Kluyveromyces lactis: one gene and its partner. The protein of the gene in region 1 purifies or fractionates together with the protein of each later gene. This does not show direct contact. Links are inferred from orthologs where the notes say so. Each region holds a gene or a part of one and is shown in the gene's direction. Other genes may lie near its edges.

Region 1 (3,485 bases):
ATGACCACTGGATCTGTTCTTGGGAAACACACATTTGAAACAGCTGCGTCCCTTACCGAGCATTTAACAGATTCGTCGTTATTTCCACATTGTAATTTGGTTCCACCATGGACAGGAAATACTTTCGATGCACATCCGGGACAAAACAAAAACTTTCTCAGCCAATCTAAGTACATGTTTGCATGAGAGAAGAGCGAAGCAACTTCATTGCTTAGGTTGAATGCTTGCATCCTCCCAAGTGGTTCGTATTGATCTAGTATGAACTTTGTCTCCGACTTTTGAACTAGAGTATCGGACGCTGGCCGCAAATCCATGGCAAACAATGGGGTACCGGTGTACTCCTTGTAAGAAAAACTGCTGTCACCATCCATCAACCCTAAAAACGTTATTGTGAACCCGGATTCAACTAACCATCCTCTCTCGGTATCCATGACAGATCTTATCTTGTTTAGTAAGCCTGGCCATTCCGAGTAGTTAGGACAACCTTGATGTCCTAACATTAATAAATTGGTACCAGACTTGTCACTAGTCTCAGTTGCGAATGCTGCCCCATTGATAAACGGTACAAACTGAGTACTTCCATGTTCGAACGCTTGCTTGATGAAAACCTCGTCGTCCCTTAGGAATGACACTCTATTGATAGTTTCCAATCCGAAAAAGGTTACACTTCTTTCCATATGTACTGCGCTATCAGGCTAACCACACTATACGGGTACTAAATTGATCGAACTCCAAGTACAACAACCTCTCCAGCGATCAAAACGACAATGCGACTAGGTTGTGCACTGAATATACACGTATAAATCCAACTGTTCCCGGTCATTATGTGGATGTGACTGCAAACCATGCTTTGGAAATTACCCTACCATATATCACGTGATCATAAGTTTCTACTATCCCCTTCGTAGAAAAAAGAAACACTATTATTTTTTGTACCAAAAATTGAAATTGAAATCAACTTAACCACAATTAATCACCATGTTTGATATTTCATTGGTGGAGTTAGAGCATTAGACGGAGAATTTAGTGGGCCATTTGGTGTCATAACACAGGTTAACTGATACGGAAACTCAGATATCAAAGTATAGTTTCAAAACGTCCATCTTTCCCCAACTATATACTTAGGAATTTGACCTTTTTTTTGGTCTCTGTTTTGGTTTATTTTTTTTTTTTTTTCATTTCAGAACTTCAGGTTTAGTTGCAGAATTTCCCTCTCAATTTTGTGAAGTTGAGAAGCAATAAAGCAACAAGCAACTGACATATCTCACTGTACGTTTGTTTCCAGTTGAGTTTGATTATAGGATAAAAATATCTTACTTGATATTTCTGGTATTTGAGCTTGTACATGAGAACGTGGATATAAAGACTTATTTTGAGGTTCTGCGGTATATATACTTTCATTTGATTAGAAATATTGAAGGTAAGACGTGAACAGGAGAAGACAGACATAAGGAACGAAAAAGAAAGATGGATTTAAGAGTTGGTAGAAAGTTCAGGATTGGGCGGAAGATTGGCTCTGGTTCCTTTGGGGACATTTATCATGGGACTAATTTGATTAGTGGTGAAGAAGTCGCTATTAAGTTGGAGCCGATTCGTACGAAGCATCCTCAATTAGACTATGAGTCTCGAGTTTATAAGTATTTGAGCGGCGGTATTGGAATACCATTCATCAGATGGTTTGGGAAGGAAGGTGAATACAATGCTATGGTGATCGATCTTTTGGGTCCGTCTTTGGAAGATTTATTTAACTATTGTCATAGGAAATTTTCTTTTAAGACCGTAATCATGCTTGCTCTGCAGATGATCTGTCGAATCCAATACATTCATGGCAGATCTTTCATTCATAGAGATATTAAACCGGACAATTTCTTGATGGGTGTCGGAAGACGTGGATCCACCGTGCATGTTATTGATTTTGGTTTATCCAAGAAGTATAGAGATTTTAGAAGTCATAACCATATCCCATACCGAGAAAATAAGAACCTTACTGGTACTGCACGTTATGCCAGTGTCAATACGCATCTTGGGATCGAACAAAGTAGACGTGACGATTTGGAGAGTTTGGGTTACGTGTTGATATATTTCTGCAAAGGGTCCTTACCATGGCAGGGGCTCAGAGCCACGACAAAAAGACAAAAATACGACCGTATCATGGAAAAGAAATTGTGCATCACCGTCGAACAACTATGTCAAGGTTTACCTATGGAATTTGTTGAATACATGAGATATTGTAGGAACCTCAGATTCGATGAAAGACCAGATTATATGTATTTGGCTCGTTTGTTCAAGGATTTGTTCATCAAGTTGGAATACCATAATGATCATTTGTTTGATTGGACCATGTTGCGTTACACAAAAGCCATGATCGACAAACAAGGAGGCGCCCAAGCATTGGAACAAAAAGATGAAAATGGTAATAAACAGGATTCATTTGATAAAGTGAAACAATTGGCTATGAAGAAATTTTCAACACATTTCCACTATTGGAAACCAGATGATACTTCTCATCCAACTGCTGAAGACATAAAACAACAGACTATCCTAAACACCCAAGTTATCTCCACGATCCCAGATGAAGTCATGAATGCTATCGACAGAAACATGGAACAGTTGAAGCACGAAGTGAACCAACAGGTGGCGTCTCAACCACAACAAGGACAACCACAAGGACAAACTCAGGGACAAGGACAAACTCAGGGACAAGGACAACCACAATCAGGTCAGCAACTAGATACACAGTTACCTCAACCTACCACGTTACTACAACAGCAAAGGGCACAAGTTCAAGGTCAACAAGAACAGATGTTACAACAGCAACAACAACAACAACAACAACAGCAGCAACAACAGCAGCAACAACAGCTTCTGCAACAGCAACTGCAAACACAACAACAAACGCATCCAAATGCAATGGCTATCACCAACCCACTACCAAACCCTAATAACACCACCAAAACTACCACTACCAATAATATCTGGCTTTAAACGCAAAAGACGAAAACAATGCGCAAACAGTTGCAAAATCTGTAGAGTAGAAAAAATCACACACGCTCATACATATATACAACTCATCATCAGTTAATCATGGGCTTCTAACCCACATTGGTTATAAATTATAACTCGGAAATCTGTTACCTAATTCACACTTATATTTCTTTCTTATATGTACTTGAATAGTGGAACATGGGGGAGAACACACACAGGGATTTTCTCACCAACATGAGCAACCATGAAAGTAAGCTGGTTACTGAATCGGCAGCTGACACAGGTTTACGGTACTCGCAGTTCACAGCTCATTGTTGCTGCTGCTGAAGTTTCCCTCCTCATCCTTGGCAAGGCCATTATCGCAATATACGAATTCCACTACTAAATATCGAAAAAGGGTTTCTGTTCCTCACATGAACAGTGAATTGTGAAAAACTAGACCAAAGGAAAACTAACAACAAAAGGAGAGTCAACTGTGGTGAGAAAAAGAGAGCAATCTA
Region 2 (4,116 bases), about 620 kb from region 1:
ATTGCCTTTCCATTCATTACTGAACTTAAACTTACCTTGCTCGATTGATTGTGTTTTTCAGAGCTTCTTCCTGCCATATTCCTAGCTTGTATGCTAGCAGTAAGCCTCTCCTTCCGAATGTCACATCCAATCCTATCTCCCGATGGTAATATCGGTCCAATTCCAAAATACGCTATTTCCCATAGCTAGTCATTCCTTACGATCCTTTTGTAAATACGAACATCGCTTAGCACTGTTTTCGTTCGAATTACTTTTCCCAGTCTGAGTGAATTTACTATGCGAAACATCGCTACCGTCCAGAAATCGGCCAATAGAACACAATCGACAGAAAACGCTAAAAAAAAAGATGATTGAAGCAATACAGTTTTACGGTAGTTTCTATGAAAACACCCGGACACCACACCATAAAGCTCGTCTTTCCGGCTTCTGAGGAATTTATCGTAACAAAGCTAGTAAGCTCCAACAGTTGCAGAGCTTAGCCCTCTGACTCCTGAGTGTGTCCGGAAGAAAGAACCAATAGGAATATTACTGAAGCACGGTAAAGTTTAATTCTGTGCCACGTCACAGCAAATCACAGCTCAGGGATCAAAAATAGACCTGGTGGTTGATCTGACTACTTTTGTTTCTAGGGTAATACGCTCATGTCCTAAGAAAAAATGACTAACCAAAAGAGCTATCCCCGGGTAAGAAGTAGTTTCGCGGCTCTAAATAATAAGCGTTCATAAAATTTCCGTGCTTTTTATGGGGGATTCCCTCTGTTAAATCTCTGCAGCATATCAGAATGCTTCTTTTCCCTCCGTATCAGAATGACAGAAAATAAAGAAAACTGATAATTTGACAAAAAAAAAAAGTAGAAAACAGAAAGTAGAGAAATAGGAAAAGAGAAAACTTCATATATCTATAGAATCAAATATTCATCCCTACCGGTAATATTGGCTCAGCGGTCAATCAAGAAGTAAGCACAAAAGTTGATATTAAAAGGGAGCTACAGAGTCAGTAAAGCTTAGTTTCTCTGTATAGAATAAGCTTCAAGCTGGAATCATCTCTCTTATATTCACTGATTGACTTGGTCTTTTTTCCCTTCCCTGTCACGCTGGACTAATTGCATCATTATTGACCGTTGAATTATTTACTGTCTCACTTTGTTAATTTGGAGGGTTGATAGATATTATATTGGCTTCCATAAGACGAATCTAACTTTACCGTAAAATAAGAGTACCTTGGGATAATTGTCCTTCTTTTTTGACAGGAAAGGTATTTAGTTCGGACTTATTGTTTCTTCTCTACATCGTTCAAATAGTGGGTTAAAAGACAGGATGCACTTCAAATCATTGAAATGTAAGTTCTACTGTAAGGGGTATCATTCCTCTGCACATAAATCGGCAACGTCCTTTTTTGATAGCTCGTACCAGTATTTGAAACAGAATCAGGGACTTGTGAACTTGGATACTGCTATTCCTCAACATAACATTTTGACTGCTGTTCCACATCCCGTAGTGGTGGCCAACGTTAATTATAATAACGTGGAAAGGGCTTTACAGAGTAGAGACGCAGAGCTGTCGAGATTAGAATCAGAGGAGCTAAATTTATTTTATGAAAAGGATGGTGAAATTTTCTATTCTGGCGAACATGATGTAAATTATTCGAAGAAGAGCTCGTATGGTGCCAACCACAATAAGAAGAAGAGATCCAACTCGTTTACCTATCTATCGAATGAAAAATCTGCTCTAATTAACGAGAAGTTGTCTACCCGTTATTATTCTACCAAGGTACAAAATTCTCAAAATAATGCAAATAACAATCTACGAGCAACTCCGATCACTCCTCCAACTTCACCTCCTGTCGAAAAGCATCATAGTTTAGAGAAATCTGGAGCGAAAGAACAAACGGATAAAGGTGCAGTGCCGGAAGCTCTCTTAGATCGTTTAAAAGATGTAAGATTGGATGACTCAATCCCGGCATGGGAAACAGATTTGGAACCATGTTTGAATAAAGAAGCATTTTTAGAAACACAATCTAAGCTGATAGAAGATTGCATGAAGAACAAAAATTATAATCAGGTTAACGCAATTTATAAATCGTTGATAAGAAATGAAATTGTTCCTCCGTTGTCATTATTTGAACAAGTTTTGACTTCTATTTGCAGAAGGGACTTAGATCAAAATAATATCGATAACCAAATGTTTGAATTACTTAACTGTTACCAAGATATAATTCAGAATAAATTAAAACCAAGCGCAGAAATCTATCACCTTGTTGTAGGTTCATTGTTGTCTGGATCAATCAGAGCGTTTGAGTTACACAACACCAATGGATTAGATTTTTTCAAAATTGCCATTGATCTGTTCTTTGCTTCTAATTTGAATAAGAATAAGTCCTTCGACCATGAGTTTTTAGATAATCTTTTGTTGGCTATCAATTTATACCCTGGCCACATAAAGTACGGCTATATCAAGAATTTCATTGATTCAAACGTGAAGTATTCAAAGAATGAAATCTATTACATTTCTTTAATCTCGTACGCCAAGATGTTGAACGAACATGAGGCAGTAAAAGACCTTTATCAAGATTTTAGATCAGAACTTCTGAAAAATATGCAATTGGTTGAACACCAATATGAAGTGTACTCTGTCGTCGTATCAGCTTTTGCTGAAACTGGATCGTTAAGTTTAGCTACAAAGCTCTTAGATAAGCTTCTTGTGGATCTACAAGCAAAAGATGGGCATAACAAGAACGTTTCTTTGGTCATTTCGAACTTTTTGATATCTGTCGGTAAAATAAATTCGGAAAAGGCATATAAGTTGTTGATGGAATTCAGTAAATTAAAATGGGTACCAGAATTCTCTTATGAATTCTACTTGGTCATGATCGCAAACTGCCTCAATACTAATTGGCCATTGGTGAAAAGAATATACAATTATATTTTCCCTATGAAAACGTCATTCAACACCACGAAAAACGATAATAAAATCAAAAATTATTTATTGTATCCAAGTGGATTGGAATCGATGCCCAGCACTATATTGACATACGCCCTAAGGCAAAAAGACGACGAGCTCATTATGAAATTGGTCGAAGAATCGAATGTGAAAAAGACTACATTCCAAAGAGGATTGTACCCTTACATTTTTAGCTACTTCCAAAGCATAGGTTGCCCGGAGCCTTACTTACTTCGTTTTGTGAATATTCATGGTTCTGCACTTTCAACCGATAGCAAGCCTCTAGTATTCGAATTTTTGAATGCATTGGTCGAAAACTATCAATCGCAACCTATCTTGAAGAAGGTATCAGAAATGCCTTTCTTTAAGAGTGCCTGTGAAGCGTTCACTCTTGAAAACGCTTCTGCAGTTAATTACGCAGGTTTCATTGTTTGTTTCCAAACGTTGTGGAAAACTCCTCAATTGATTCAGGATTATTCTTACAATCTTGAATTGCATGGAATAGCTGTTTCGAGATTATATGATCTAGATACCTACTATTTGGATATTCAAAATGAGATGTTGTTAGATTTCAAAAAACAAATGGCTGAAAGATTCCAAAAGCTTTGCGTTAACTACAAACGAATTCATTTGGATGCCAACAAGATTTCCCCTGTAGCAATTCAAGCTATGAAAATGGTCGATCTTTCCGAAGATACTGTGGCTTATTTCCAACACCCTGGTGACTGGGACAAATCTTACCCATTAAGCTTGGGTCCGGTATTGCGTAACTCCAAAAGGACAGGGTTCAAGCAATATGAAAGACTTTCCGAAGATGGCTACAAATTTGATTATGATACTTTCTCCGAATTGATTCACCAGAAATACATAACCTCTGATGTTATAACCAAGACTATCAATTTATGTCCAGACAAGGAAACCCTCAAGTATATCTCTAATTGTATTGTTGTGAAATGTCCAAAGAATCTTTTGGAAGAGGAGGTAATTCAACATCAGTTATTCAGTAAGATTCTTGAGAACCTAACAGATAAATCGCTATCAAAGCTTGCGTTAAATTGTGAAAACATCCGGAATTTTATTAATGCTGTTGGTTTCCCCGATAGGTTCAAAAGTATTACTTCTCAAGCGGAGTACAAAGGCGCTACCGCGGTTATATTTGCAGCGCTATTTAGAGCGA

The links. The genes of interacting proteins can lie anywhere in the genome.
Region 2: the proteins of HRR25 (region 1) and RPM2 purify together in Saccharomyces cerevisiae (affinity purification with mass spectrometry, with the first as the bait; 7 studies listed by BioGRID). This does not show direct contact. The link is inferred for Kluyveromyces lactis from reciprocal best matches to the Saccharomyces cerevisiae genes HRR25 and RPM2.

The regions. Positions count from the first base shown.
Region 1 is NC_006040.1:264,294-267,778, forward strand, and holds HRR25 (serine/threonine protein kinase HRR25), read left to right. Parts: upstream 1-1,467; coding exon 1,468-2,985; downstream 2,986-3,485. Other genes in the region: NPY1 (NAD(+) diphosphatase), read right to left, coding at 1-677. UniProt on the Saccharomyces cerevisiae protein: Protein kinase which phosphorylates serine and threonine residues. Can use casein as a substrate. Phosphorylates elongator complex member ELP1/IKI3 on 'Ser-1198' and 'Ser-1202' which promotes the tRNA modification function of the complex.
Region 2 is NC_006040.1:885,040-889,155, reverse strand, and holds the start of RPM2 (ribonuclease P), read left to right. Parts: upstream 1-1,316; coding exon 1,317-4,116. UniProt on the Saccharomyces cerevisiae protein: Ribonuclease P generates mature tRNA molecules by cleaving their 5'-ends.